Linked DNA regions of Macaca mulatta. The protein of the gene in region 2 interacts with the protein of the main gene of each other region in a biochemical or structural test. Links are inferred from orthologs where the notes say so. Each region holds a gene or a part of one and is shown on either strand. Other genes may lie near its edges. The genes, in order: FLOT1 and SORBS1.

What was found.
Region 1: the proteins of SORBS1 (region 2) and FLOT1 form a complex in vitro, tested with the Homo sapiens proteins (2 studies listed by BioGRID). The link is inferred for Macaca mulatta from reciprocal best matches to the Homo sapiens genes SORBS1 and FLOT1.

The regions. Positions count from the first base shown.
Region 1 is NC_133409.1:152,305,501-152,321,235, forward strand, and holds FLOT1 (flotillin-1), read left to right. Parts: upstream 1-1,319; coding exon 1,320-1,362; intron 1,363-1,641; coding exon 1,642-1,717; intron 1,718-1,805; coding exon 1,806-1,896; intron 1,897-2,175; coding exon 2,176-2,319; intron 2,320-2,705; coding exon 2,706-2,825; intron 2,826-2,912; coding exon 2,913-3,008; intron 3,009-3,193; coding exon 3,194-3,346; intron 3,347-9,167; coding exon 9,168-9,349; intron 9,350-9,519; coding exon 9,520-9,565; intron 9,566-9,680; coding exon 9,681-9,818; intron 9,819-10,059; coding exon 10,060-10,224; coding exon of another isoform or gene 10,225-10,263; exon of another isoform or gene 10,264-10,433; intron 10,434-12,112; coding exon 12,113-12,142; downstream 12,143-15,735. UniProt on the Homo sapiens protein: May act as a scaffolding protein within caveolar membranes, functionally participating in formation of caveolae or caveolae-like vesicles.
Region 2 is NC_133414.1:107,348,727-107,364,461, reverse strand, and holds part of SORBS1 (sorbin and SH3 domain-containing protein 1), read left to right. Parts: intron 1-1,053; coding exon 1,054-1,100; intron 1,101-5,877; coding exon 5,878-5,992; intron 5,993-6,145; coding exon 6,146-6,271; intron 6,272-8,259; coding exon 8,260-8,454; intron 8,455-10,285; coding exon 10,286-11,059; intron 11,060-15,735. UniProt on the Homo sapiens protein: Plays a role in tyrosine phosphorylation of CBL by linking CBL to the insulin receptor. Required for insulin-stimulated glucose transport. Involved in formation of actin stress fibers and focal adhesions.

The DNA.
Region 1 (15,735 bases), on a different chromosome or scaffold from region 2:
TGGAACTGCGGCAGAGTAGGAGAAGAAGTGGGGAGGACCCGGGTGGGGGAGGACGTTCCGGCTGGGATGAAGCCTGGTGGTGGGTCGTAAGTTTAGGAGGTGACACTGCATCCTCCAGCATCTCAGCTCCGTCTGTCTACTGTGTGAGACTTCGGCGGACCATTGGGAATGAGATCCGTGAGATCCTTTGATCTTCTTGAAGTCGCCTTTAGGGAGAGGCTGCGGGGTAGAGGGTTGGGGGTTGGTGGGCTGTCACGGGGCGACTGTCGAGATTGCCCAGTATGTTCTGTGAACACAAATAAACTTGATTTACTGTCTGCAGTCTTGAGTGTATCTTTGCAAGCGCCGACTCCCCGCTCCTCCCCGCCTTCAGATGGCAAGGAACGGCGGGAGGCGCCGTGGCCCAGTCCCCAGCCCGCGCACTTCCCTGGGCCCCGGAGCTCCTTTTCGTGGAGTCAACAGAACCCAGCATCCGGTTGCCCGATGCAGTCTTTCATTGCCCAGTCTGCGGTTTTCCCAGGTAGTTGCCCCGCGGCGAATCCGAGATGTGGCAATCACCCTTACGCCAGGGTGCCGGGCCGCGGAGGTCAAGTCCCGCGCCCGGGGGCGGAGCGTGGAGCTGTGTCGCCCGGCTCAAGAAGGGCGGTGATTGGGGCGGCAGGGATGTGGCCGCCCCTGGGCTAACCAGGCAGCCCGGCTGGGCCCGGGAGCCAACGGGTGGGCCGGCTGCGGACTCGAGCGGGGCCTGCCGGGAAAGGGGCGGGCCAAGCTCACAGGGCCGAGGCGGGGCGAGGTGGGGGTGCTTAGTTTGCTGCGGGGGGCGGGGTCGCGGCTGCAGCAGCAACAGGGTGCGGCCGGGTGGGTAACGCGGGAGCGGACCCAGGAAGGCTGGTCCGCTACCGGCCCCTGCTCGGCTTGCAGGTCCCTGCGCGCCCCCGCCCTTCCCTAGACCCCAGCCGGGCCGCCGCCGGTGTCCAGGAAGGTGAGTGGGGGAGGGGAGATGGAGCCTGGGGCTGCCGAGAGGCAGGGAGGGAGGGGAAAGATCTTCAGGCCTCTGGGCGCAGGGGACCTTTATCAAAGGGAGCGGCGAGGGGAAGGGAGGGACCGTACGCAGGCGGGGAAGAGGTCGCTGGGGATCTTCAGGATTTTGCAGGGAAAAGCTTTAGCGGACCCATGGGTGCGGAAGGGACAGGCTGTGGCGGATGCAGACTGAGAGGGCCTGACGGGAAAGGGAAAGGATGGGCCCCTGTGGACGCCACAGCGCCCCTTCCCCATCCGCAATGGCTTTCCCTCCCTCTCCTCCAGCTCCAGCCTGAACCATGTTTTTCACCTGTGGCCCAAATGAGGCCATGGTGGTCTCCGGTAAGTACTGTTGTACCCTTCCCAGCCAGTGACCCCAGAACCCCTGTGAGTCTGGCCTCTGCCCCTTCTCCCTCTCCCTACCAGCTTCCCAGCCCCAGACTTCTGCCCCTTGATGACCACGAACTGCCCAGTTTGATTCCCACCATTCCAAGGCCCAGATTGCTTCCCCTCCAGCTCCCAGATTCTCTCCTGTGGGTTGCTGTCCCCTAGCCCCCGCCAGTTCCTCAGTCTTCCACATTCAAGCTCTGCCACAGTTCCTCACTGCTCCTCACTTTGCAGGGTTCTGCCGAAGCCCCCCAGTCATGGTGGCTGGAGGACGAGTCTTTGTCCTGCCCTGCATCCAGCAGATCCAGAGGTAGGCAAGAAGGGAACCAGGGAAGGGGAACCTCCCATTTTCTCTTTTTCCTCCTTTTCTTACTGTCTGTCCCTTCTTTTTCCCCTAGGATCTCTCTCAACACACTGACCCTCAATGTCAAGAGTGAAAAGGTTTACACTCGCCATGGGGTCCCCATCTCAGTCACTGGCATTGCCCAGGTGAGGCTTTCAGAGCCTTTTCCCCAAAGTCTACTTCCCCATCACCCTCTCACCCAGACATTAAGACATCTTCTGGCCACAGCCTTCTCGATCCTTGCCTGCAGAGAAGTTCCTCTGCTAGTCTCATCTTTTCCAGGCACCCTCAAGGCACTTGCTGCCTCCTCCTTTCTTTCCCTGAAATGGAAGAAGCATTTCTTTGAGGGCTCTCCCTTCTCTCTGCTTCTTCTCTGACTTCATGAGGCCCCCACCACACCTTTCCTACCCCTACTCTGGCTACAGGTAAAAATCCAGGGGCAGAACAAGGAGATGCTGGCGGCCGCCTGTCAGATGTTCCTGGGGAAGACGGAGGCTGAGATTGCCCACATTGCCCTGGAGACGTTAGAGGGCCACCAGAGGGCCATAATGGCCCACATGACTGTGGAGGTTGGCCTGGGGGCAGGGAACCATCTGGAATGATGCCAAAATGAGGGGGACCCAAGGACCACACTAGTCTGTGACAGACAGTGGATCTAAGAGCTTACATCCCGGCCGGGCAGGGTGCTTCATGCCTGTAATCCCAGCACTTTGGGACACCAAGGCGGGTGGATCACTTGAGGTCAGGAGTTCAAGACCAGCCTAGCCAACCTGGTGAAACCCCATCTCTACTAAAAATACAAAAATTAGCTGGGCATGGTGGTGGGTGCCTGTAATCCCAGCTACTTGGGAGGCTGAGGCAGGAGAATCGCTTGAACCCAGGAGGTAGAGGTTGCAGTGAGCCAAAAAAAAAAAGAAATCTTACATCCCCTCTCCCCACCATCCTGTTATCACAGGAGATCTATAAGGACAGGCAGAAATTCTCAGAGCAGGTTTTCAAAGTGGCCTCCTCAGACCTGGTCAACATGGGCATCAGTGTGGTTAGCTACACTCTGAAGGACATTCACGATGACCAGGTAAAACTGGGCAATTGATCCTTCCCCACTTCCTTGCTCCCATCTCTTAAGCCGTCCAAGGGACTAATTTCTACATCTCTCCCACAGGACTATTTGCACTCTTTGGGAAAGGCTCGAACAGCTCAAGTCCAAAAAGATGCACGGATTGGAGAAGCAGAGGCCAAGAGAGATGCTGGGATCCGGGTGAGAGAGATGGGGGTTGCTTAGTGGGAAAGGGGATAGAAGTGGCACAACTGAGAAGAAGCAGGGGTGCTGGGTTAGCAGGGAAAATACTTGAGGCAGACAGAGAACCTTGGTGGGAAGCAGGCTCGCACTGTGGCCTTTCTCCCACTGCCCTGACATTTCCTACCTGATCTCTGCTTGGACAGGAAGCTAAAGCCAAGCAGGAAAAGGTGTCCGCTCAGTACCTGAGTGAGATCGAGATGGCCAAGGCACAGAGAGATTACGAGCTGAAGAAGGCCGCCTATGACATCGAGGTCAACACCCGCCGAGCACAGGCTGACCTGGCCTATCAGCTTCAGGTCAGAGCCACTGCACTGGGCAGATGGCCAGGCTGCTCTCTGCCCCTTCCCCATTCCTCTCAGGCTGTCCGTCTCAGGAACCACCACTTCTCATATTCTAACTCTGATCTTATTCTGGCTCTCCATCAGTGGACCAGCTCCCCTATATGAGGAGAGATTTAAAAGACTCAGATGTTACAGCTGAAAAGCTTTAAAGAAAAGGCCAGCTGGGTGTGGTGACTCGTGCCTGTAATCCCAGCACTTTGGGAGGCCAAGGCAGGCTGATTGCTTGACCTTAGGAGTTCAAGGCCAGCCTAGGCAACATGGTGAAACCCTGTCTCTACAAAAAATACAAACATCAGTCAGGCATGGCGGCTCGGGCCTGTAGTCACAGCTACTTGGGGGATGAGGCAGGAGGATTGCTTGAGGCAGGAGGATCGCTTGAGCCAGGATGTGCAGGTTGCAGTGAGTCGAGATCACACCACTGCACTCCAGCCTGGGTGACAGCGAGATCCTGTCTCAAAAAAAAAAAAACGAGAAAAAAAAAAGACCAGGAGCGGTGGCTCATGCCTGTAATCCCAGCACTTTGGGAGGCCAAGGAAGGTGGATCACAAGGTCAAGAGTTCGACACCAACCTGGCCAACATAGTGAAACCCCGTTTCTACTAAAAATACAAAAATTAGCCAGGTGTGGTGGCACGTACCTGTAGTCCCAGCTGCTTGGGAGGCTGAGGCTGGAGAATTGCTTGAACCCAGGAGACGGAGGTTGCAGTGAGCTAAGACCATGCCATTGCACTCCAGCCTGGTGACAGAGTGAGACTCCATCTCAAAAAAAAAAAAAAAATTCAAGAAGGGATATGATCAGTAAAGCTGGTCATATGTTTGGAGCAGACTGTGTCTGTGCAAGGGTATCTGACTGAGAAAATGGATCCGAGCTCAGATCCGGCCCATGCCCCTCTAATCAAGCAGTGCTGACATGGGTCTGCATCTACACAGAGGAATTTCTAATTTGCACAGAGGCATGCTGTGGGCTAACAGCAGCCCTGGTTAATCAAAAAAGGGTATGAAGAAGGAAAACATGGACTTGGACATTGAATCCTGCAAAGTGAGATATGGGCAGCCCTTGATATTGCCAGGAGATATAGTTGATCTTCATTCTTCATTATTTGTATCTGAGAATTTGCCTATTCACTAAAATGTGTTGGTAACCTCAAAAGGTTACCAGTAAAGTCGCTGCACTTTCAGAATCATTTGCAGACACGCACAGAGTGGTGAGATAGCTGAGCCACCTGATGTGCAGTGCCCAGGTGAGGTTCAGCAAGGAGATGCTCTGCCGCCTTGTTTCAGCTCTCATATCATAAGCCATGTTATTTTCGCAGTATATTTACTGCCATGTTTTTTGCGTTTTTGTGCTTTTTCTTGGTGATTTCGCTCTTTAAAATGGCCCCCAAGCATCAGTACTGGAGTGCTGTCTGGTGTCCTGTAGTGCAAGCAGGCTATGATGTGCCTTATGGAAGAAATACATGTGTTAGGTAAGCTTCGTTCATGCAGGAGTTGTAGTGCTGTTAGCTGTGAGTTCAGTGTTAATGAATCAATAATATAGTTTACATAAGGTGTCTTTAAACAGAAACACATATAAAGCAAGGCTTTATATTGATCGGTTGATGAAAATGTTGTGACCAGAGGCTCACAGAAACCTAGCCCTGTATTTCTTCTAGGAACAAATTAGGTACTAATTCAGCATTCATGACTACTTCATAGAACAGAACTACCAAGAATAATGAAAGTCAACTGTACTTTGAGACCTTTACCCAAAGGATAGCAATGTTATGCATTTTGTTTTTGCCAAGAGTTGGTACAGGCTGAAAGCATTATGAAGGTACAAAACATCTTTTGTTATTATGTTAAATTCCTGGGTGACTTGACAGGTTGAGCATGGCATAGAGCTTGGCAACTCAAACTGTGTTCTACCTAGCAGCAGCTACAGCATCATTGCAAAGCTTGTTCGAAATACAAAATTGCAGGCCCTGGCCCTCATCAACTGAATCAGAACCTGCATTTTAACAAAATCTTGAGGTGAATTCCTAGGTGATTTGTATGCACATTGGAGTTTGAGTTTGAAAAGGATTACCATAATGGAAACTGCTAGCTTGCAGTAAAGCTATGGATAAGGTTCTTAACCTTCTAAACATGACCTTACTTGTCTGCAGATTAAGAGATTGGGCTGGTTGGGCTCTTTTCAACTTTTATCAGTTTCTTCTTACGCACCAGGCACTGTGCTAGGTGTTCAGGAAAGGATTTATTCAACAAATATCTGTTAAGTGCCTCCTGTGTGCTAGACATCATTTTGGAGGTGAGGCTGTAAATACGAATGAGACAGAAAAGATTCCTGCCCTTATGCAGCTTACATTATGACACAGGAAACAGCTAGTAAGCAAGTAAATGACCTTCCCAGGCTATAATTCTTGTTTACGTGCTGTGAAGGAAATAAACAGGGTGATGTGAAAAACTGTGGGAGGGGAGTTATTAGGTTAGCGGGTGGTCAGAGAAAGTTTCTAAAGGCCAGGTGCGGTGGCTCAAGCCTGTAATCCCGGCACTTTGGGAGGCCGAGACGGGGGGATCACGAGGTCAGGAGATCGAGACCATCCTGGCTAACACGGTGAAACCCCGTCTCTACTAAAAAATACAAAAAAACTAGCCAGGCAAGATGGCGAGCGCCTATAGTCCCAGCTACTCGGGAGGCTGAGGCAGGAGAATGCCGTAAACCCGGGAGGCGGAGCTTGCAGTGAGCTGAGATCTGACCACTCTACTCCAGCCTGGGCTACAGAGCGAAACTCCGTCTCAAAAAAAAAAAAAGAAAAAAAAAGAAAGTTTCTATGAGGAAGTGGTGTTTGAGATCAGACCTGTAGATAAGAAGGAACAGAGTTCTGGGCCAAGAACATTCTAGCCTGTACTTTTTAAGTAGTCATATGTGGCTGGGCGCGGTGGTTCATGCCTGTAATCTCAATACTTGGAGAGGCCGACACAGGAAGATCACTTGAGGCCAGGAGTTTGAGACCAGCCTGGCCAACATGGTAAAACCCTATCTCTACCAAAAATACAAAAAATAGTAGCCGGGTGTGGTGGTGTGAGCTTGTAATTCCAGACACTCGGGAGGCTGAGGCATGAGAATCACTTGAACCCAGAAGGTGGGAGTGAGATCGCGCCACTGCACTCCAGCCTGGGTGACAAGCGAGACTCCTTCTAAGATAGATAGATAAATCGATCGAGACTCTGTCTAAGGTAGATAGATAGATAGGGCTAGTGGCTAGGCAGGAGGACCAGTAAGTGCAAAGGCCATGAGGTGGAGACAGAAAGGAGGTTTCTGATCTGAGGAGGCTGGTGTGCTGTGAATGAGGAGGAAAGGCTGACGGCCAGATCACAAAGGGTTTGTGTGGTCATGATGGAGACATAGAAGAGAATTGAAAGCACAGTGGAAAGCTATTGGAGAACCTCAATCAGAAAGGTGCCATGGTCTTATTTATATTTGTATAGGGATCAGTCTGGTTGCCTTGTGGAGAATGGACTGTATGAAGAGAGGAAGCAAGGCCAGGCGCGATGGTTCACGCCTGTAATCCCAACACTTTGGGAGGCCGAGGCGGGCAGATCACGAGGTCAGGAGATCGAGACCATCCTGGCTAACACGGTGAAACCCCATCTCTACTAAAAATACAAAAAATTAGCCAGGTGTGGTGGCGGGCGCCTGTAGTCCCAGCTACTCGGGAGGCTGAGGCAAGAGAATGGCATAAATCCGGGAGACGGAGCTTGCAGTGAGCCGAGATAACACCACTGCACTCCAGCCTGGGTGACAGAGCAAGACTCTGTCTCAAAAAAAAAAAAAAAAGGAAGTAAGAGATGAGTTGGGCTCTTTTTCAGAGATGATGGATTAAACGAATGTAGCTAATTTTACTCTCTCCTAAAACCTCACTAAAGCCAAAATGATTTTTTTTAAGATAAAGACAGAGGCTGGTCCAAAGGTAGTGAGTTATCTCAATTGATTGTTCAGTCAGTTACAGATTGAACTCCTTGTTCTGCTCTTTACCTACTTCTCACTACTGCACTTGACTAGTCTTTCTTCCTCTCTTTCCTTCTCTCTTCTCTCCTCTCCTCCTCTTTGAGACTGAGTCTTACTCTGTCCACCAGGCTAGATAGAGCGCAGCGGTACAATCTCAGCTCACTATAGCTTCAACTACGAGGCTCAAGCGATACTCCCACCTCAGCTTCCCGAGTAGCTGGGTCTACAAGCATATGCCACCACACCTGGCTAATTTTTGTATGTTTTGTAGAGATGGAATTTCACCATGTTGCCTAGGCTGTTTTCAAATTCCTGGGCTCAAAGGATCCTTCCCACCTCAGCCTCCCAAAATCCCAGCATTTTGAGAAACTGAGGTGGATGGATCACTTGAGATCAGGAGTTCAAGATCAGCCTAGCCAACATGGTGAAACCCTGCCTCTACTAAAAAAAAATACAAAAATTAGCCAGACGTGGTAGCATATGCCTGTAGTCCCAGCTGCTTGGGAAGCTGAGGCAAAAGAATAGCTTGAACCTGGGAGGTGGAGGTTGCACTGAGCCAAGATCACGCCGCTGCACTCCAGCCTGGGCAATAGAGCGAAACTCTACCTAAAAGAAAAAAAAAAGAAAATAAATAAATCTGCTTAAATAAGAGGAATTCTATGAATACACACATTCTTGTAGATGTTCAGAGTATCCCTGGAAGGATACACAAGAAGCTGGTCTGGGTGGCTACTTCTGGGAAAGGGACCCACGTGGTTTGGAGAATGTAGGAAGAAGCTTTCTCGTGGTTTACTTTTTTTTCCTGTTAAATCTGCACCATATGCAAAAGACAAAAAAGATCACGTGTCCCCACCCCCACAAAAAATAAGTCAGCTATTGCAGTAGCCTAGGCTAGCACTAAGGTTATTCTAGCAACAGTGGGGGGATTTGAGCAAGACTGGAGATAACAGAAGGCCACCATGTGCTCAGTGCCCTCCAGGTATTTATACTCTAGAAGGGGGCACAGGTGGGAAAAATAGATTAAACAGGAGCTCATCAGAGGAACACTGGACTCCACTGGGCTGGCCAAGCAGGAGGGGACCCACCTTCATGTACCTGCTCCTATTTTTTTTTTTTTTGGGAGATGGAGTCTTTTTTTATTTATTTATTTATTTTGAGTCTAGTTCTGCCGCCCAGGCTGGAGTGCAGTGGCGCGATCTCGGCTCACTGCAAGCTCCACCTCCCGAGTTCACGCCATTCTCCTGGCTCAGCCTCCCGAGTAGCTGGGACTACAGGCGCCCACCACCGCGCCCGGCTATTTTTTGTATTTTTAGTAGAGACGGGGTTTCACTGTGATCTCGATCTCCTGACCTCGTGATCTGCCCGCCTCGGCCTCCCAAAGTGCTGGGATTACAGGCGTGAGCCACCGCGCCGGGCTGGAGATGGAGTCTTACTCTGTTGCCCGGGGTGAAGTGCAGTGGCGTAATCCCGGCTCACTGCAACCTTCACCTCCTAGGTTCAAGCAACTCTCCTGCCTCAGCCTCCCAGGTAGCTGGGACTACAGGTGTGTGCCACCACACCTGGCTAATTTTTTGTATTTTAGTAGAGACAGGGTTTCACCATGTTGACCAGGCTGGTCTTGAGCTCCTGAACTCAGGCAATCCACCCTCCTTGGCCTCCCAAAGTGTTAGGATTACAGGCGTGAGCCACCGCGCCCGGCCACCAGCTCCTATTTTTATATCCCACTCTGGAGCTCTGGTTCCGGGGCACTTCCTCTTCACTTCTGACTCAGAGCGCCCCTCCTACCCAGGTGGCCAAGACTAAGCAGCAGATTGAGGAGCAGCGGGTGCAGGTGCAGGTGGTGGAGCGGGCCCAGCAGGTGGCAGTGCAGGAGCAGGAGATCGCCCGGCGGGAGAAAGAGCTGGAGGCCCGTGTGCGGAAGCCAGCAGAAGCTGAGCGCTACAAGCTGGAGCGCCTAGCCGAGGCAGAGAAGTAAATGTCCCCTTCCTGACCCTTCCTAGCCCACTTGCCACCTAGGCACCCCAAGATGGAGGGCTGAAGCCTTCACCACCTGGACTGCTATGGATTTTAGGTTTCAGGAACCTCTGCCTTTGCAACACTGAGTCCCTGGGCTGCACCCTCCACTTTCCTTCTGTCCACAGGTCCCAACTAATTATGCAGGCGGAGGCAGAAGCTGAGTCGGTGCGGGTGAGTTAAGATGCAGCTCCTGCTGGCTTGTGGAGAGGGTGGGGGTTGCTGCTTGAGCTGGGATTTCTTGTTCTTAATGATTTCCGTCAATCTCACAAGCATCCTTAACCCTCAGATGCGTGGGGAAGCTGAGGCCTTTGCCATAGGGGCCCGAGCCAGAGCCGAGGCTGAGCAGATGGCCAAGAAGGCAGAAGCCTTCCAGCTGTACCAAGAGGCTGCTCAGCTGGACATGCTGCTAGAGAAGCTGCCCCAGGTCTGGAGGTTGTGTGGGCACCAAGAAAAGAGGAAATAGAACCAGGGACTAAGGGGTGGGGTGAAATGAGGGGCTTAGGGAGAACCAGGCTAGGGGGACCCTAAATTAGGGGTGGGAATTATTAGTGGCCAAAGTAAGGAAGGATGACCAATGGAACGAGGACCTTAAAACCCAGGGTAAGTTGTTTTATGAGGAGTGTGGTCAGATCATGGGCACTGAGTGGGCATCTCTCTCCTGCCAGGTGGCAGAGGAGATCAGTGGTCCCTTGACTTCGGCCAATAAGATCACACTGGTGTCCAGCGGCAGTGGGACCATGGGGGCAGCCAAAGTGACTGGGGAAGTACTGGACATTCTAACCCGCCTGCCAGAGAGTGTGGAAAGACTCACAGGCGTCAGCATCTCCCAGGTGAGGTCTCAGGTTGGAGCTGAGGAGCAGAATTGCTAGGTTCCTGTGTTGTATAACGCAGCAGGCGTAGCATTTCGCCAGCATCCAGGCCTGGGAGTCACTGATGTTTATTAATCACTTTCTGTGTGCCAGACACGGTGCTAAGCTTCTACATAAATGAGTTGTTTTATATACCCTTAGGGTATATAGGGTTTTACAAAGTCAAGAAACTGAACTTCCAGCATGTTCCTACTCATTCTGCTGGTGCAGCTGGAGTGAAATCTAGGTCAACTGTCTCTGCAACCTGTGCTTGTGGTCACCCCACTAGTATAGGGAACTAGTTGCAGCCTATTGACAGTTAATTAATTCCAGGGCATATCACTGCTTTTCTTGGTTCCCCAGTTAATTCACCTGTAGATCATGGTCGAGGTCAGCAAACAGGCTCTGGAACCACTGTTTTGTTAATCCTAGCTACAATGCCTGCTAGCTGTGATCTTGGACAAGTAATCAACCTCTCTATACCTGTTTCCTCACCTTAAAATTGGGTTAATAATTAGAAACTACCCTGTTGAATTGTTGAGGGGCTCGAGCAAATATTTGCAGTGTTTAGAATAGTGCCTGGTGTATAGTAAGCATTATGTGTATGGTAAAGAAATGGTGCCGGGTGCAGTGGCTCATGCCTGTAATCCCAGCACTTTGGGAGGCCGAGGTAGGCAGATCACCTGAGGTCAGGAGTTCGAGACCAGCCTGGCCAACATGGCGAATGAAACCCCATCTTTACGAAAAATGCAAAAAAAAAAATTTGCCAGGCTTGGTGGTGTCTGCCTGTAATCCCAGCTACTCGGGAGGCTGAGGCAGGAGAATTGCTGGAACCCAGGAGGCGGAGGTTGCAGTGAGCTGAGATTGCACCACTGCACTCCAGCCTGGGTGACAGAGCAAGACTCTATCTCAAAAAAGAAAAAAAGAAGCCAGGCACGGTGGCTCACGCCTGTAATCCCAGCACTTTGGGAGGCTGAGGCAGGCGGATCATGAGGTCAGGAGATGGAGACCATCCTGGCTAACATGGTGAAACCCTGTCTGTATTAAAAATACAAAACAGCCAGGCATGGCGTTGTGCGCCTATAGTCCCAGCCGCTGGGGAGGCTGAGGCAGGAGAATGGTGAGAACCTGGGAGGCAGAGCTTGCAGTGAGCCAAGATTGCGCCACTGCACTCCAGCCTGGGTGACAGAGCGAGACTCCATCTCAAAAAAAAAAAAAGAGAGAGAAAGAAATGCATATTTGGACTGGGCGCTGTGGCTCATGCTTATAATCCCATAACCTTGGGAGGCCAAGGTGGATGGATCAGCTGAGGTCAGAAGTTTGAGATCAGCCTGGCCAACATGGTGAAACCCCATCTCTATCAAAAATACAAAAATTAGCCGGGTATGGTGGCGCATACCTGTAATCCCAGCTACTCGGGAGGCTGAGGAAAGAGAATCACTTGAACTCAGGAGGCGGAGGTTGCAGTAAGCCAAGATTGCACCACTGCACTCCAGCCTGGGTAACAGACTGAGATTCCATCTCAAAAAAAAAAAAAAAAAAAAAAAGCATATGTAAATAAAAGCCCTGGATCATACCGATGACCTTCAAACTGGGTTCCTTGGAGCCTCCTGGAGGCCTGCAGTGGAATATTCATAGCTAAGGAGAGTGCAAACAAGGCTCTGCCCCTTCTCTTCTCTTGAGTGATTTATTGTATGTGGATCCTGATGTCTTTGTTTAGGGAAACAGGATGAGGTAAGGCACCAGAAAGAAGACTCCTGGCCGTGTGTGTTCTCCCTATAGCCCATTCATCTAAATGGGGGCCCAGGAGAGCAGGGGCCTCAACCTCCCAAATGTTCCCAAGTGTCACCTGCTGTTGTCTTTTTGCCAGGTGAATCACAAGCCTTTGCGAACAGCTTGAGCCTTCAGCCCTCACAGATGCCCAGCCTCATAGCTGAAGTTGCCTGAATGATCCTCCTGTTGCATGTAATCCACTGGCCTCCCTGAGCATGTCCATTGACAGTGAGGTCCCACCCCTCATCTCTCCTTGCCAAATAGTTTGTGCCTTGTCTTGAAGGGGGTTGCTCCCCTTGCCAACCTCACACTGCTATGATTGCCAACTCCAGTGGTCCCATGTCAGCCTTCTGATGATCCCACTCCACCCCATCTCAACTTATTTAATTCCTAATTAAATCAGACTGTTGGAGCCTGTTGTCTAGAATACTTTCCTGACCAAGACTGAAGGATGTGCTGGAGGTTTTCAACTTTGCTACCCAAATAAATTGCTATAAGTAAGTACTGATACTTATCAACAATTAATAAAACAGAAGCAACTGGAAATGAATGCTTGGCCCGGCATGGTGGCTCACATCTGTAATCCCAGGACTTTGGGAGCCCAAGGCAGACAGATCATCTGAGGTCAGGAGTTTGAGACCAGCCTGGCCAACATGGCGAAACCTTGTCTCTACCAAAAATACAAAAATTAGCCAGGTAGGGTGGCACGTGCCTGTAGTCCCAGCTACTTGGGAGACTGAGACAGGAGAACCACTTGAACCTGGGAAGTGGAGGTTGCAGTGAACCAAGATCACACCACTGCACTCTAACCTAAGCAACAGAGTGAGACTGTTTGAAAAAAAAAAAAAATGAATGCTAGAGTCAGGTGTGGTGACTCTTGCCTGTAGTCCTAGCTACTTGGGAGGCTGAGGTGGGAGGATCACTTGAGCTCAGGAGTCTGAGGCTGTAGTGAGCCGTGATCGTACCACTGCACTCCAGCCTGGGTGACAAAGCAAGATCCTGGCTCTATTAGAAAGAAAATGAACGCTAGAATGTAGCTTCCTCCTTTGCATAAAATAGGCTTTCTAGAATGGGAGAAAAGCAAGTTACTTATATACTGTCAAGAGTTTTAGAGTTAATTTTTCCCAACAGTGTATTATAGTCAGAAAAGCATGCTAAAATAGAAGGACTGTTGAGAATAGTATTAGTTCCCAGAATTCCTGAAAATATGGCAAAAGGAATTATTGTTTTCAGGGTAGCTTTGAGACTTGCATTGAGAACTTAAAAGTATGAGGTATGAGGTAGCAGATGGTACAGATTGTTTTAGAATGGGACTGTAAGGTAGCATTCCCGACTGTCTTTTTTTTTTTAAACACAGGTCTTGGGCCGGGCGTGGTGGCTCATGCTTGTAATCCGAGCACTTTGGGCCTGGCACAGTGGCTCATGCTTGTAATCCCAGCACTTTAGGAGGCTGAGACGGGTGGATCACTTGAAGTCAGGAGTTTGACCAGCCCTGGCCAACGTGGTGAAACCCCATCTCTACTAAAAATACAAAAATTAACCTGGCGTGATGGCGGGCGCCTGTAATCCCAGCTACTTGGGAAGCTGAGGCAGGAGAATTCCTGGAACCCCGGAGGCAGAAGTTTAGTGAGCCAACATCGCGCCAATGCGCTCCCCCCGGGCAACAAGGCAAGACTCCATCTCAAAAAAAAAAAAGACAAGGTCTTGCTGTCACCCAGGCTGGGGTGCAGGGGTACGGTCAGGGCTCATTGCAGCCTCACCCTCCCACCCAACCCCCACCCTGGCCAACAACCACCACCCCCTACCCCGGTAGATGGGACTACACGCATGCGCCACCATGCCCAGCTTTTTTTTTTTTTTTTTTTGGTTAGATGGTTCACTGTTGCCCAGGCTGGTGCGGAACTCCTGGGCTCAAGCCATTCTCCTGCCTCGGCCCCCCAGTGCTGGGATTACAGGTGGGAGCCACCATACCAGGGCTTCACTAGTTATCTTGGTGTCACAGGTTGACTAAGCCTATAGGATCACAAGAAACGGCCGTGGGTACACATAACCCAAAGGAATCCTGGGCTGAGTGGCCAAGGCCAGTTCAACCATTTCTGGTTCAGTACATCTGGGTGGGACAAAAAACTTCCATTTATTTCTGCAAGTTTCCAGAGGATGTGGATGCTGGTCTGGAAACCAGTTACGCATGACTTGTCATTCTTCTCAGCTTCCATTTTCCAGCCCTGGATCCTGTATCTAAGCCTATGCCTTCCCCAGTTAAGACTCATTGGTGGACCTGGTGCATTGGCTCACCTGGCTCATACCTACAGTCCTGCTGCTTGGGAGAATGAGGATTGCCCGAGCCCAGGACATCAAGGCTGCAGTGAGCTGTCAGACTCCATTAAAAAGACTGACTGGTGCTGAGAACAGTTTGGGTACCAGAGATAATGACGTGAGGGTCTATTCAGTAGTGTCCTTACCAGTACCTCCCTGAAATATCAAATCGGCAGACGCCCAAGTCCCTCATATAAAATGTAGTATTTGCATATAACCTGTGTACTTTAAATCATCTCTACATTACTTGTAATACCTAATCTAATGCAAATATTATGTAAATAGTTTATACTATTATTGTTTAGGGAATAATGAGAAGTCTATATATGTCCAGTACAACTATTTTCCCAATATCCAGTTGGTTGAATCCATGGATGCAGAACCCATAGATGGGACAGGAACTTAATATTGTGAAGTGTCAATTTAAGGAGAGCAGTGCACCTGAACTCAGGCCCCAGGCCTCCATCAGCAGTGTTTCCCTAAATAAGCACACATCTCGTAGCTTTTTTCAATTCCCATTTATTTTTGGCTCTTGGGGCGATGTCATCTTTTCAATATGAAAAAAAGCAGCAAGTTCAACACAAAATAGAAATCTCAAATGTAGGAAAGAACAAAACTAAGTGTGTGTGGGGGGAAGCAACAGCAAAATGAAGAAATGAGATGTTGCAAAAAAAGATGGAGGGTTCCCCTCTCCTCTGGGGATTGACTCAAACACTGATGTGGCAGTATACACCATTCCAGTCAGGGATGCTTGTTCTTTTTGGGGGATAAGAAAAGATGGGGATTCAGAGGACGTTTCTGGAGGCTTAGGGACCAAGGCTGGTCTCTTTCCCCCCGGCCCTGCCCCCGCCCCCGCCCCCTTGATGCCTTTCTCTGATCAGGGGAAAGGAGTTCGAATGAGGGAGGTAGAGTTGGAAAGGGAAGGATTCCACTTGACAGAGTGGGTCAGACCCCTCCAAAGAGTAGAGCTTGGAGGGAGATTGAAAGTGGAGATAATACTGCTGACACCTCCCTTGAAGCTGAGATGGTAAATGGACATACTTGGAAATTAGTGACTTTAATAGCCTGGATTTCCCTCTCCAAAACTTAGAATGGAAAATCCCATCCCCTCCCTTATATAGTGACTTCTACCCACTACCTTCTACCACTTTCTACTTTGGGCTTAGGATGGTGGCCATTATCTACATGGGTTTTCAGCACCTGGTTGGTTCTAAATGGGATCTGGATGAGACCCAGCGTCTTGGAGATTTTTAAGAGGGAAATATTAACTGGACAGATGGAAGGAATGGGCACCAGAAGGAAATACAGGGTCACCAGAATGGCAGAAACCTAGGTTTCCCAGAGTGGAAAGAGAGAGGAGACATTCAACAAACAAGTATTTATTGAGTGCCTACTATGTGCTAG
Region 2 (15,735 bases):
TACTCCAGCCTGGGAGACAGAGCAAGACCCTGTCTCAAAAAAAAGAAAAAAAAGAAAAGAAAAAAGAAATTTCAGAGAGAGGAGGGGATAGGAGGGGGTTCAGTTGAGGTGTAGCAAATAGATTTGACTGGAACAGGAACAGTGTAGTAGAGATAAAGGCAATTCGGTTAAGAGTAGGGAGAAACTACCCAGAGGCCTTCACCTATGGCAGGAATTGAGATTTGAACTGAGGGAAAGTTGAGAGCAGCAGCCAACTTCAAAGCAAGGAAGAGATGTGAGGAAGAATGTTAGGAATGTTATTTGTGCTCCCGGGTGACAGATTAGAGTGAAGAGAATGTGAAATCAAAGGAAGCTTTGTGTCAATGGGAACTAGGCGTCAGCTTTGAGCAACAGGGTTGCGGAGGGATGGAGGTGTGGAGGGAGGTCCCTCCTGACTTAATGACACACTTGATCAGGAAGTGGAGAAGGGGCGGAGGCTGACTCGGACCTGGGCATCTGGGAAGAGAGGACTACCCAACAGGATTGGAAGTCTTGGCAGGAGTCATTTGAGCTCAGGGACCACTTTATCTGGCTTTTTGGATGAGGTCACAGACCGTAAGAAATATATGGAGTTGGAGATGATGTGAGAAGTGAGTCGGCGTTTCATCTACTTGCATATCATAATTTAAGCAAATAAATGTACCTAAGGAATAAGACAGTAGATAAGGAACATCTTAGGACTTCTGGCTGACTTTGTCTTTTGTTTGTTTGTTTTTTCAATAGCCATGGTCTGCATGTTTTGAGGAACTGGTACCTCAGCTTTGGGACCTTTCTAACCATCTCTTCCCCAGATCTGGTTGTTTTTAGGGGATTCTCATGCATGACATACATAGTTAACTAAACATTTATCTAGTATTCTACTAAGGTCAGACAAATGTAATTTTGCCCAGATTTCTACACTAGAACAAACTGGCTAGAGTGAATTTCTCTGCTTTGCTTTCTAGAAATTTGTGAAAATGTGTCCTTGTTGTACCTGAATCCTGATTTTAACTTGTCATTGTTTCTTATGTTCAGATGAGACCTGCCAGAGCCAAATTTGACTTTAAAGCTCAGACACTAAAGTAAGTGCTACCAGTTATATTTATTTATCTTTTTAGCTGTCTCTTTGAAACACAACAGTTTGTTTGTAGAGAAGAGTTGGAGAAATAACAATTATCAAAATTGTTGTTAAAAAAAAAAAAGAACAAAACAGTAGTTCATAGAGTTTGCTATGTGCCAAACACTATTCAGAGTACTTTGCATATGTTAACTCATTATGGAGTGGGTGCTGTGATGATCCCCACTGTTCAAATGAAAAGGCCAAGGGACTATAAGGTTAAGGAACCTGCTCAAGCTGGTGTGAGAGAGTTGGAATTCAAACCTAGGCAGAGGTTGGGCTCTTATACCCTGTCCCACCCTGCCTCCTCCTATGTAGGGGCTCTATTTGCTTATGTGGTGGCTTGATCTGACCCATCTTTTCTGTGGAAGGATCTAGACCAGTCTCTAGGGAGATAACTTTACCCATTTTGCTACAACATCCCAAGAGATTAAAGGCTTACATGAACCCACCGGAGACTAGCGTTTCTCTAAGTGTGTTCCTCAGAGTGCTAGCCCTATAAGATTTTTCTCAAAAAGGGAGTTCTGTTGTAGAATGAGTTGGGAAACAGTGCATGCTATATCTATACCTCCCACCCACTTTGAAGAAATACTTTGTTGATGGCATGTTAATAGCTCCAGAAGTCTTTCAAGAAAAGAACCTGAAACACGATTTGGGAAATGCTACCAAAGACTGGGTTCCATAAGGAAACAGCTGGCTTTTTATCTAATTATGGATTTAAATAGTCCATGAGTTCTCATTGGCAGCTAAAAGTACAATGGACAGTGGCCACCCCATTGTCCTGCAGATGGACGGTCATGCATCTGGTGATCAGAGGGAGAGCTCCCTGTCCTTAGATGCTGGGAAATGCTATGTGGAGCTAACCAACCATGGTTCTGATCTCCTCTATCCCACAAAATGAGTGACCAGGCCACAGTGTCTAGAACCTAGTCACAAATCTGGTATAGTTGGGTTTGTGTGTATTACTCCAGTCCTTTAGTTGGTCAGCTAAAGGAGGTGGCTGCGTACCATACTGCAAAGATTGCGAGCTTTAGAGTCAGGAAGTCCTGTGTTCAAATCCTGACTATGCCACTTACTATCTCTGTGAGTGTAGTCAAGTTATCAACTTCTCCCCCACTCAATTTTCTTTATCTGCAAGATACGGGTAAAAATGCCTCTCTTTCAGGGAAGCTGGGGTAATACCTGTAAAACATTTTGCGTAGTGTACCAAAATTTAGTGCTCAAAATATATTATCCTCTTACCCCCCTTTTTTTAAACCAGACAAGATAACAGAGATATATAAATTAATTTGCAATTTAATTAATACACTTTTTCTTTGAATTGAGAAAGGTCTATGTAAGATTTATTAAATGGTCTAGTGATGATAATAGTACATTTTCCCAGATTTCATAAAGAGTCTTAAAACAACTTTTTTTTAGAGCAACCCCGTCAAATAGAACAGGTGAGAAAGCTTAGATCCACAGAAATTGTCACCTTTTATCAACATTGCTAATGCCGGAGAGAGGTTTCCTTCCTTCTGATTCCGTGTTTTCATCACGACATGCTGCCTCCAAAAAAAGTCCACAAAATTTAGTGAAAAAAGTAAATTCTAGCTCCATGGTCTTTTAAGCCCTTCAGTCACTTGGTTTTACATTTCCCCGCAGTCAGTTACTCAAAAAAGCATGCTGCCGGGGCCAGGCGTAGTGGCTCATGCCTGTAATCCCAGCACTTTGGAAGGCCGAGGCTGGCAGATCACTTGAGGTCAGGAATTCAAGACCAGCCTGACCAACATGACAAAACCCTGTCTCTACCAAAAAATACAAAAATTAGTCGGGGCGTGGTGGCAAGTGCCTGTAATTCCAGCTACTCAAGAGTCTAAGGCATGAGAATTGCTTGAACCCAGGAGGTGGAGGTTGCGGTAAGCTAAGATCACGCCACTGCATTCCAGCCTGGGGAACAGAGTAAGACTCCGTCTAAAAAATTTTAACAAATAAAAAAAATAAAAAAAATAAAAAGCATGTTATGGAATACTTGGTTCAACAAAGTTAAACAAGTTTCTTTCCCCTGGGTCTTCTCAGAGCCTCTGCTGTGCTGATGTACACTGTGATGCTCAAAAAAAGATCTAAAGCGAATCATATTTCTCAAACCCTCTCACCAGCAGACCTGGTCGCATGGTTCTTTGGGAGCTAGGAGTATAGTCCACAGTAGTGGCAGAATAGGGCCCCAGGTTTCCCATGGTAGACTTCCATCAGCCACAACTACTGACCCCTCAGTTCCTCTCTCACACACAAGTGTATCCTTTGCTTAACAGTAGGACCATTACGCTCCCGCCCCCCTCCACAGCTGCAAGATACTTAGTATAGTAGAGTCAGGAGCCTGCAGGTCTCCACAGCAGTGAATATGCTGAGGGTCTTGCTCATCTATGTGACTGTGGTTGGGGGTAAAGGAAGAGGGAATTCATAATGCCCGCCAAAGAGGGCTGTGGCAAAAATGTGGCCCGAGACATTCCTTCTCACAGAGACAAATGCCCACATCCCCTTTACAGACCTCTTGAGGGTTAGAATCCTGTTTGCTAATGTGAGACCCACAAAGGCTGCCTTGTGCTTTTATTCAGCACAGAATTGACTTTCTATAGTTTTCCAGATGTGCCCTCATTGTTCGGCCAGCACCCCTCACATACCGTGGGACTTCCTGGCATCCTGCAAAGTGAGCACACCCCTTCCAAGTTACAATTGGAGACTTTTCCATCCTATTGGTTTGACACAAATGAAAAAGATCTAGGTCATTTTTTTTAATTCAAGAAAATGTTACAATTTTAAAATTATTTAATTCAAGAAAAAGTTGTAAGGGCCAGGCGCAGTAGCTCACGCCTGTAATCCCAGCACTTTGGGAGGCCGAGGCGGGCGGATCACCTCAGGTTGGGAGTTCGAGACCAGCCTGACCAACTTGGGGAAACCCCATCTCTACTAAAAATACAAAATTAACTGGGCCTCGTGGCCCATGTCTGTAATCCCAGCTACTGGGGAGGCTGAGGCAGAAGAATAGCTTGAACCCGGGAGGCAGAGGTTGCCGTGAGCTGAGATCACACCATTGCACTCCAGCCTGGGCAACAAGAGCAAAATTCTTGTCTCAAAAAAAAAAAAAAAAAAGAAAACGTTCTAATTTTTATCCTTAAGTTTTCATTTTGTTTAAAATTTGCCTTTGTCTAACTTTTTTAAAAAAAGAGTCCTGGTTAAAAATTAACATCATCTGGGCCAGGCGCGGTGGCTCACGCCTGTAATCCCAGCACTTTGGGAGGTCAAGGCAAGTGGATCATGAGGTCAGGAGTTCAAGACCAGCCTGACCAACATGGTGAAACCCCGTCTCTACAAAAAAAAAAATTAGGCGGGCATGGTGGTACATGCCTGTAGTCCCAGCTGCTCGGGAAGCTAAGGCAGGAGAATTGCTTGAACCTGGGAGGTGGAGGTTGCAGTGAGCTGAGATTGCACCACTGCACTCCAGCCTGGTGACAAAGTGAGACACTGTCTCAAAAAAAAAATAATAATAATAATAATAATAACATCATCATTATTAAGGCAAACAAAAGAATGGATATGGAAAAGTTGCAAAGGGGCACAAAGAGCATTTGAAGGAAAATCTACTTTTCTTTCCAACATCACTTTTCCATGTTAAAAAGCAAAGGAATTAGGCCGGGCGCGGTGACTACATGCCTGTAATCTCAGCATTTTGGGGGAGACTGAGGCAGGAGGATCACTTGAGCCCAGGAGTTCAAGACCAGCCCGGGCAGCATGGCAAAACCCCATCTCTACGAAAATATATATGTAACAATTGGCCAGGCATGGTGGTGCATGCCTGTAGTCCCAGCTACTCAGGAGGCTGAAGTAGGAGGATCACTTGCGCCCAGGAGGTTGAGGCTGCAATGAGCCGTGATCATGCCACTTGCACTCCAGCCTGGGCAGCAGAATGAGACCTTGTCTCATGAAAAAAAGTAATGGAATTAACATTTATTTATTGAGTGTTACCTACCTGTACAACAGGCACCATCCTAGCTGTTTATTTTTAGTTTGTTGAAGCATTCTCCAGCAACTCTGAGTTAGCTCCAAGTTCAGCTAAAGAAACAGTGTCTCAGATTAAGTATTGTGTCCCTGGTCCCAGAGCTACTAAATTTCAGAACTGGGTTTTGGACCAGATCTGCCTAACTTCAGAACCTTTCTACTGCATGATGATACAAAGACGGATGGTAAAATGGATGGGTGGACAAATGGTGAAATTGATGGAATGATAGAAGGATGCCAATATATCACAAATAATTTGAGGGCAATTTAAAGCAACGAAAGCATGTCCTGCTAGGGCATAGTAGAGGATAGTGAAGGTATCCAGAAGGAGACGCTTTTCTTCGTTTAATAAACATCAGTTAAGGCAGCTGAGTGCATTGTTGTGTGTTGCATAAATATTCTGAGCATAAGACAACATTCACAAAAAATGCATTTAGAAAACCACAACAAATTAATAAGGCCTCTGAGCACTTTCAAGGGCTAGTCAATTTGAATGTTAACATCCATCCTGCAAAAGACTGGAAAAATGCCAAACGTGATGTAATTTCCTGAATAGTGGGGTTCTTACTTCCAAATATGGAGTCCCCTCTCTGGAATTTGTACCCTTTGACCCCACTTAAAAGTCTTCTTTTGCTACAAAACTGAAGTGTCTTAATCTTACACATACTGAAACATCTGCTAAAATGCCGTTGACCCTCTGTCGACAGGGAGCTTCCTCTGCAGAAGGGAGATATTGTTTACATTTATAAGCAAATCGATCAGAACTGGTATGAAGGAGAACACCACGGCCGGGTGGGAATCTTCCCACGCACCTATATTGAGGTACCGCAGCCCCTTTTCTTTCTAAGGAAAAGCCTGACTGTGCCCAAAGCACCATTTATTTACTAAATGCTTATGTTTTGTTTCCTCCTTTTCCTCTTGTTTCCCTGCTTTCTTCTCTTCCCTTGTTCTCTTTTACCTGTTTCCCTTTCTCAGCTTCTTCCTCCTGCTGAGAAGGCTCAGCCCAAAAAGTTGACACCAGTGCAGGTTTTGGAATATGGAGAAGCTATTGCTAAGTTTAACTTTAATGGTGATACACAGGTAGAAATGTCCTTCAGAAAGGTAAGCTGCCCTTCTCATGCCTTGCTTTGGGGCTCTCTTGGATGGCACAGCTATGTGGGGAAGTGTGGTGTTGCTATCACATCCCAGTCTGGGGGTGCTATCTGTACCCTTAAGAGAAGTATGCTAATCAATAATTGCATTAAGGGCTGGGCACGGTGGCTCACGCCTGTAATCCCAGCACTTTGGGAGGCCGAAGTGGTTAGATCACTTGAGGTCAGTTTGAGACTAGCCTGGCCAACATGGTGAAACCCCGTCTCTACTAAAAATACAAAAATTAGCTGGGCATGGTAGTGGGTTCCTGTAATCCCAGCTACTCAGGAGGCTGAGGCAGGAGAATCATTTGAACCTGGGAGACAGAGGTTGCAGTGAGCTGAGATTACTCCACTGCTCTCCAACCTGGGCAATAGGGTGAGACTCTATTTCAAAAAAAAAAAAAAAAGAATTGCATTAAGGCTTGTAATCCCAGCACTTTGGGAAACCAAGATAGGAGGCTCACTTAAGGCCAGGGGTTCAAGACCAGCCTGAGCAACATAGCAAGACCCCATCTCTATTGAAGAAAAAAGCTAAAAGAATTGCATTAAGGGCAATTGGAGAATTTTCTGAGGTAAGGTATTTTTAAAATAAACCCTAGGCTAATGTCAGGGTTTAACTGTATTGAGCTCACTGATTAAAGATAGTATTTCTGGAGTCTTAGACATCTTTTATAAGCTGTTTTCAACCAACACTTACCAACTAATGATGTGATAATGCACTGTGTTGGGGACTGGGTTTTACAATATATTGGTGTGATCTAGTGGAAGAAACAGGTGCATTGATACCAGGAGAAGTTTGAAAAGCTTTGAACCCAAAAGGCACAAACCAGCTGTGCAGAATGTGGGAGTTAAATACTTTTTCCAAGCCACTATTTTCTTATAGAAAATAATGAAGATAGATGGCTCTCCCCTAGGTGGTTGTAAGAGACTTAGGTGAAACAGCTTATGTGAAGCCCCCAGCATGACACATGGTATCTGGTTTGTGCTTAGTAAACAGGAGATGCCAGTATTATTATCATCACCGTCATGCTTATTCAGACGCAATTACACTGTGCAGAGAAGTTCTTCTTTCCAGAATCCAAACACTCTACCTGGCAAAATTCTCTGGCTTCCTAAAGTTACTAAGTTACTGATTTTATTGAGGATTGAGGGAAGTGAGCACATGGGTTAGAAAAAGATGAACCATCTTATGTAACACTGGAAGCAACCCAATTTGCCCCACAGCAGGGGATCAGTAATTAAATCATTATATGTGTGTGCAACAGAATACCCTGCAGTGGTCCATTAAGCTGTGCAATGCCATTAAAAATCTAGAATTCTATTTTTTGATAAAGAAGGAGGTTTACTATGTACTATTAAGTATTTTTTAAAAAGCAAGTTGGAAAAGTTTGGAAACACAGTTTATACTCAATTTTTATAAGAAAAAATATGTGAGGTTTAATTCACATGCGTAGAAGTAAATCTGGGAAGTCCATATGCCAAATATTAATAGTGTTTATCCCCAAATGACTATGTGATGGGTGAAGATTGTTTTCTGCTTTATGTTTGTGTTCTGATTTTTCTATAATGATACATTATAAGTATTTATAATTCTACAAAAGAAAGAAAAAGAGAAACCCCCCAAAATCTTTGCCTTAGAGATGAAGATTGGATATCTGTTTCACATTAAATGAGTCAAAAACACTATATTTGTTCCCTGGCTTAGGGGCACAAATCTGATGTTCTCCTTTACTAAAATACTTAAAGAACCAAGGTAAACTTCCCAGCATCAAGGTAGCTCCTCTGCCATTAGCATCCTCATCCCAGTGGTGGTAATTCCCTCCGGGTTCAGCAGGGAATGTTTTTGCTGAGCTAAGAATGTGGTAAACAATGCAGGACATTGAAGCATGCAGGCAGAGGCCCCAGGCATGCAGAGGCATGCTAGGACAAGGACCCTGTCTTTGCTGTGTCTTCCAGGGTGAGAGGATAACACTGCTCCGGCAGGTAGATGAGAACTGGTATGAAGGGAGGATCCCAGGGACATCCCGACAAGGCATCTTCCCCATCACCTACGTGGATGTGATCAAGCGGCCACTGGTGAAAAACCCTGTGGATTACATGGACCTGCCTTTCTCTGCCTCCCCAAGTCGCAGTGCCACTGCAAGCCCTCAGGTATCTAAGCTTCTCGTCACTGGTTTTCATACTCAGCGTGTGAGTTTTCTTAGTCAACAGTGCTGTTGGCACACAGCCTCTCTGGGGAGGTTTTTGAGCACTGCAATTAAAAACTGTCTGCAGGAGGCCGGGTATGGTAGCTCACACCTGTAATCCCAGCACTTTGGGAGGCTGAGGTGGGTGAATCACCTGAGGTCAGGAGTTCGAGATCAGCCTGGCCAACATGGTGAAACCCTGTCTCTACTAAAAATTCAAAAATCAAAAAAAGATGGCGGGCGCCCATAGTCCCAGCTACTCGGGAGGCTGAGGCAGGAGAATTGCTTGAACCCGGGAGGCGGAGGTTGCAGTGAGCTGAGATCACGCCACTGCACTCTAGCCTGGGCGACAGAGTGAGACTCTCAAAAAAAAAAAAAAAAAAACTGCAGGAAAGCAGACTGTACACTGGACTTTGTCTTCATGCATACAAATGGCCTTTTCCAGTGCTTGGTTGAAGATATATTATCTCAGAGGAAAAGAAAGAGTCAGATAATTGCTCTGGGAATAAAGTGACTAGGGAAAGAGAAACAAGAGCCTTTATCAGTTGGTCCCTCCTGGGTGAAGCTGTTGGTGTGGGGACCACCGCTGTGTCATAAATCCCATGGTCCAAATGTGGTCCTCAGTCATCTTGGCCAAAGTTGGCCTGCAGAAGACAAAGGCTGAAAGAGAGACTTACACCTTCTTCTCGTCAGCCACGTAGACCAGGTCCAAAGTGTTTGCATTCACCGGAACCAGGTTGACTGGAACAAGTAACTTATAGCATTCAGTCTCAGTGGGCTGAAAGGATGTAGGTTTATAGGCATGGTAAGATGTTGGCTCTCCCAAACATTAATTATGAATAAACTTGTTTAGAAACATAAACTATTCCAAACTGATCCCCACTTTCCCAAAGCCAAGAAAATGTCAGAACCTTGAGTTCAGGGTGATATGGTGGGGGTGACATCCTGTGAAAAAGTCCAGCCAAACCACCATGTATGTTGTAAGGAGGTTGGCAGAGGAACAAGAGTAGGACCTGGGGGCCCAGGTTGACCCTGAGATGATGCCTCTTGTCTAGTCCTCTAATTGTTTCCTCCTCTGACACCTGCTCATCACTGACCCCAGTAGAGGGTTCTTGGCAGAAAGCATTAAACAGGCTGACCCAGGGCTTCCTGCACAGTGACAGCCGCATCCTGTTGTCTTATAAGACAGGGTGTGTGACTGGGGCGGGACATTCTGCTTTGTAAGGATGCAGAGAACTCAGCTACATTTTTCACTTGACTGTAGCCAAGAGTGATTGTAAAACAAAACTAGTACACTACTCATACTCCTTTCTGGAAGACTCTGCTGAGCTCCCAGAGAAAATAAAACCTCAGGGAAGGGCCATGGCAGTGCGGGGCCACCTTTCCCCATGGTTCCGGGTCAGGGATCTGGATGCACAGGGGCTGGGGGGCTGGGATAGGGAGCTTCCAGTGGGTCCCTTTGAAACTCCAATTCTGCAAAGCAGGCTGGCCTCATCCGTCACTACTCTGATGGGAACCTCTCTCCATCTCCACACCTGTGGCTGCTTCCTCCACCCACTGCCTGCACACATCAGGCTCACGTTCGCACATGCTCACACGCACACTCACCCATCCTGGTTTCTCCCCAGATGTAACCCAAGGATTTCCTTTTTGGACACCAGAGTGTCCTTGCGCATCCTCTCCATTTCATTCCTCTTTATATACCCCTTGTGATTATTTTCCTTCTTTTTCCTTTATGCTGACACTTGTACCTTTTGCTTCTTTCTTTTGTTTTCCTCTCTCTTCTTCTTTTTAAGTTTTCCAGTCACAGCAAGCTCATCACGCCAGCACCCTCATCTCTGCCCCATTCCCGCCGAGCCCTGTCCCCTGAGATGCACGCCGTCACCTCTGAGTGGATCTCGCTGACTGTGGGGGTCCCAGGCAGGCGTTCTCTGGCCCTGACCCCACCCTTGCCTCCTCTGCCAGAGGCTTCTGTCTATAACACTGACCACCTCGCCTTGTCACCAAGGGCCGGTCCCTCCCTGTCTCTCAGCCTCCCCCATTTGAGTTGGTCAGATCGTCCCACCCCACGGTCAGTAGCTTCTCCACTGGCCCTACCTTCCCCACACAAAACCTACGCCCTAGCACCCGCTTCCCAGGCCTCCCTTCACATGAATGGAGACGGTGGTGTCCACACGCCATCTTCAGGCATCCACCAAGATAGCTTCTCGCAGCTGCCACTGGGGAGCTCTGATAGTGTCATCTCCCAGCTTAGTGATGCCTTTAGCAGCCAGAGCAAGAGGCAGCCATGGCGCGAAGAGAGTGGACAATATGAGAGGAAAGCAGAGAGGGAGGCAGGCCAGAGAGGCCCTGGCGGACCCGAGATCTCTAAGAAGAGCTGCTTGAAGCCTTCAGACGTGGTCAGGTGCCTGAGTACTGAACACAGACTCTCAGATCTCAACACCCCTGAGGAGAGCCGGCCCGGCAAGCCCCTGGGTAGCGCTTTTCCAGGAAGTGAGGCTGAGCAGACAGAGCGGCATAGAGGTGGCGAGCAGGCGGGGAGGAAAGCTGCTCGGAGAGGTGGGAGCCAGGTAGGACTGCAGCATGCCGCGTGTGCACTTGGCGTCTCACTTGGCAGGGTGGGCTGCACGTCTCGCCCCGGTCCATCTACGGAGGCCAAGTGAATGCTGGTGAGACCATTTGCTTGCCTCGGGAGCAAAGAGATGGCCCCGGAGGGAATGGGGGGACATGAATTCAGGTGCCAGGGCTGGATACAGTTGGAGGGAAAGGACAGGCTGTATCTGACCACTTGAGGTCATTCGGAAGTTATCTCTACTTTGAATGCCTCCTGGCCTGCTGCAAGGGCCTCTGAGAAGGCAGACCTTCCTCACGTCCCACGTATGCCTTGGAGATGACCCTCGGTTTGCTTTGACTAACACAGCTGAGAACACCAGGCTTTGGTGTGGTGGTGTGGTTTGCTTTTATGTAAGATGCACTTTGTTTCCATAACCCATGGTGCTCTGCTAGTGCTCGGTTCTGTCAGGTCTTTGTCCTGTCTCGTGTTTGTGTGGGCGCGCGGGGCCTTTGTTTGCCACGCAACAAAGGTGTTTTGGTTCTGGAGAGGAGAATGCAGGTCTCCTGGGGCCCTGACTGGCATGGGGTATCCTTGAGTAGGCATGCCAGGTTTTTGGGTGAGTGTCCCATCTTCTCTCTGGGTCAGCTACAAAGAGTGCAGCATTTGGGCAAAGGTAGCCTTAGGGTGTTTTGAGACCTGAAAATTTTTTTGGAGACATGAAATTAGCAACTAAACAAATCACAATTCTGATTTTGGCTATGCTGTTTACTACTGCTAAAGTCAAAGACTTAAGCAACTCCTCTGAAGCAACCAGGTTTGAATGCCAGCTCCACCTCTTACTGTCTAGTGACTTGGGAGTTACTTCCGCTCTCTGAGACTCAGTTTCCTCATCTGTAAAATGGGGATGATAGCACCTACGTCAAAGACTGGTTGAGTACAAGGGCTTATGATCCTGGGAACATGGTCAGCACTTTATAAATGGAAGTGATAGAGCCACCATCTTGGGTGATCTAGAACTGCTTCTAGAACTGAGAATATTCTTAGAACCTCCTTAGATCCAGATCGAGTTCCTGAAGATGTCTGCAAGCCATTTATTAAGTATCTAGTATGTATGATGTCCACAGTAAATAGTGCTTAACCCTTAGACTTGCAACCTCAGTTTCCCTTTGAGGCTGTAGTTATTCCGTCTATGAATAAGACCTGCAGGTAGCAGCCTCTGGGCAGAGTACAAGGGTCATTTGTCTCTCCTCTTGAGGACCCTAAGTTCAAGCCTCCTCAAAACAAGGAGGAGCCTACAAACATAGCAATACCACCAGGGCAATAATAGAGGCATGCTTGGGGGACACAGGAGCACAGGGGCTTGAGACACACTAGGCCAGACTTCCAGCTCCAGCCAAGCACATGTGGGCCCATGGGTGGGCCAGCACATCAGGAGTAGAGATCACTGAGGGTGAGCCAGGATGGGGTAGTTTATAAGAAATGAGGCTTAGTCTTTTGCTAGAAAGCCATTTAACCTCTCACATGCAAAATAGGAGTGGAAGCAGTCTATCGCTTGTAGGGCAAGGATTCAATGAGGTAATTAACGGAAGTTGGTGCTTGGCACGTGCCAAGGCTCCATATGTGGGATCTCCCGCTGCTGTGTGGGGCCGTAGGAAAGCAGCAATACCTGGCAAAGGCTTTGCCTGGCCCTGGAACAGGTTGAGGAAAAAATAGAAGAGGTGGTAAAGTGGCTAGCTGAAAAGAATTAAACGTCTCTGACACAGGAATAATTCTATAAACGTTCTAAGTCAACCCAAGGCACGCGAGGACATCCTTATCGTCAGTGTTGAGTCATCATCCCGGCCCAATTCCAAGATCCTGTGTGTATAGGAAGTGCGCACGGTGCCGGATCTCCGAGTAAGGTTAGGGGTATACGCTTCCTGCTTCCTAAGGCAGGATAGGAGTGGAGTAGCTGGCAACACTGAAGATTATGTTGATTGGAAAGTCAGGCTTGTTGAAACTTGGTGTTCCTTTCTTGGTGGGTCTCCAGACCCCAAGTGTACCACTTCCTGTCCCCTCCCTTCCTTCTGACCTCCTGGCACAAGCCCCTTTTCCATGGGTGTGCCCAGGCTGTGGCCTGGGGCTCGCTCCCCCTTGAGAGCTGGCATTTGTGTGAAAAGGGCTGCTCCCGCACCTCCCCTTTAGCCGCCTCACTTTCCCCTCCTGTGGCTGGAGCAGGAGCTGACAACTCTGGAAACGGGGTCCTTCAGAAGAGGCTCCTGTGTCTTGGGCCCCCTTTGGGTGACAGACATGCTAAAAATGGGAAGGACTTATATGACAACTGTTCTCTGGCAGCCCCATCAGAATGACGTGACCACAGGCTGTTGCTTATTTGGAAAAATGCATTCCAGACCAGTTTGCGTATCAAGAGAACTGTCAGCCATTATGATCCTTGCTGAACTAAAGAGCTGAAACAAAAGTTCACTTTTATTATAGGTATTGGGGAGGTAGGTTGAGAATCTGACCAATAATGAGAGGGAATTTTACCTGAGAACCTTAAATGAAAAGATATTCTGAAATGTTATGATCATTTACTCTTTGAAGCATTTGGGATATTTCAGGCAGTTTGCTGCGAGAGACAGAGAGGGGCGAACATCATCAGGGCTTCCATTTAGATGTAGCTTCTAGGAAGCTGTTGGGGCCAAGGGAAAGTTTCCCTTTTGTCCTTTGAAGTTTCCCTAAAAATTACTGATAAGAAGCAAAAAAATTTTTTTCTTTTCTTTCTTTTCTTTTTTTTTTTCTTTTTTTTTTTTTTTTTTTTGAGTCAAGGTCTCACTCTGTCATCCAGGCTGGAGTGCAATGGCACAATCTCATTGCAACCTCTGCCCCCAGATTCAAGACTTCTTCTACCTCAGCCTCCTCGAGTAGCTGGGAGCACAGGCACATGCCACCATGTCCAGGTAATTTTTGTTTTGTTTGGTAGAGACGGGGTTTCACCATGTTGGTCAGGCTGGTCTCAGACTCCTGACCTCAAGTGATCCTCCCGCCTCGGCCTCCTTGGATTACAGGCATGAGCCACCACACCCGGCCAAGAAGCAAATTAATAGGAGAAAAGGCATACAGTTTTATGTGACATAGGAGCCTTCAGAATGAAGACCCAACCCCCCAATGGAGTGCAGAAGCTTATACCATCTTGAGGTTACAGAAGAATGGGGGCTCAGAGGATGGCCAAAGACAGGTTATGGTGGTAAATCAGATTTTAAGCAGCAAGACACGTTATGGGAGGGAGAAAAGTAAGGCTTGGCTAGCAAAGGGGGTCTTGTTATTTAGATGAAAGCTCACAGGTAGCAGCCTCAGAGAGAATAGATGGTAAATGTTTCTTTTAGGCCTTTAAAGGTGTCAGCCTGTCAGTTCATCTTTTCTAGATCTAGACAAGGGAAAGCCTCAGAGAAAACCTGGCTGCATCAATGCAGATTTTTCTCTATAAATACAAATCTCCTGCACAAAAGACAGCTTTGCAGAGCTACCTGTTTTTGCTGGCTCTCTGACAGCCATCCCAAAATATGTCAAAAAATATATTTTGGAGTAAAATATTCTGATTTCCTTTAACACCTTTCCTGATAGCCTCCCCCACCCCTGCATGAGTGGATTCAGTGCTCTGACTTTGTGCTGCCACAGCCCCTGCAATGGTCCGAGTGAGTGAGCCTCTCTCAGCCCCCTTTGCTTCCCTGTGTTCCCATAAAGTATCAGTGCTCCAAGGGCAAGACCATGATACCTGATGTATGGAAGGCACTCAGTGAATATTTGTTGAATGAAAGAAAAGGCAAGCCAGACACCTGTAATCCCAGCACTTCGGGAGCCTGAGGCAGGCGGATCTCTTGAGGTCAGGAGTTTGAGACCAGCCAGCATAGGGAAACCCCATCTCTTCTAAAAATACAAAAATCTCTTCTAAAAAATAAAAAAAATCAGCTGGGCGTGGTGGTGCATGCCTGTAATCCCAGCTACTTGGTAGGCTGAGGTGGGAGAATCACTTGAACTCAGGAAGCAGAGATTGCAGTGAGCAGAGATAGGGCCACTGCACTCCAGCCTGGGTGACAGAGCAAGACCCTGTCTCAAAAAAAAAAAAAGAAAGAAAGAAAGAAAGAAAGAAAAGACAAACAATGACTGACCCCAACGAAAGGAGTTTAGGATCTCCAACAGGGGAGTAAGATCTGTTCCCAAATAATTATAATGCAAATAAGGAAAGAGAGTCACAAACTACACCCCCTGGAAGATCAAGATGGGGAGAAATAATAACAAGGGAGGAAGGTGGTTGTCTGGAAACCTCAGGAAAAAAAATGCTGGGCAGGATGTCAGAGCCCCAGCACGAGGAGGTGGTTGACTTGAGTGTTGGTAAGAAAAATTGACTGATAACAGTATAGGTTTGAAGAAGGAAAGTTTATTAGAAAGAAAGAATACTGCAAAAGGGTGCAGCAGGGCACTCAGTGAGAGAGGACTGAGCGCACTGTGGTGGATGGATTTTCTTCAGGAGTGTTTATGGACCTTAAGGCGGAAGCTTAGGGGCAATTTGGACCATACTGGCCACATAGGTCATAAATGATTACATCTGTAGATGTTTTGGTGCCTTAATGTCAGCAAGGGTTGCACAATGAGTTTCAGCATGCCATTCCAGAGATGTGTAGAAATTCTAGTTACTTATAAATTTGGAGGCAA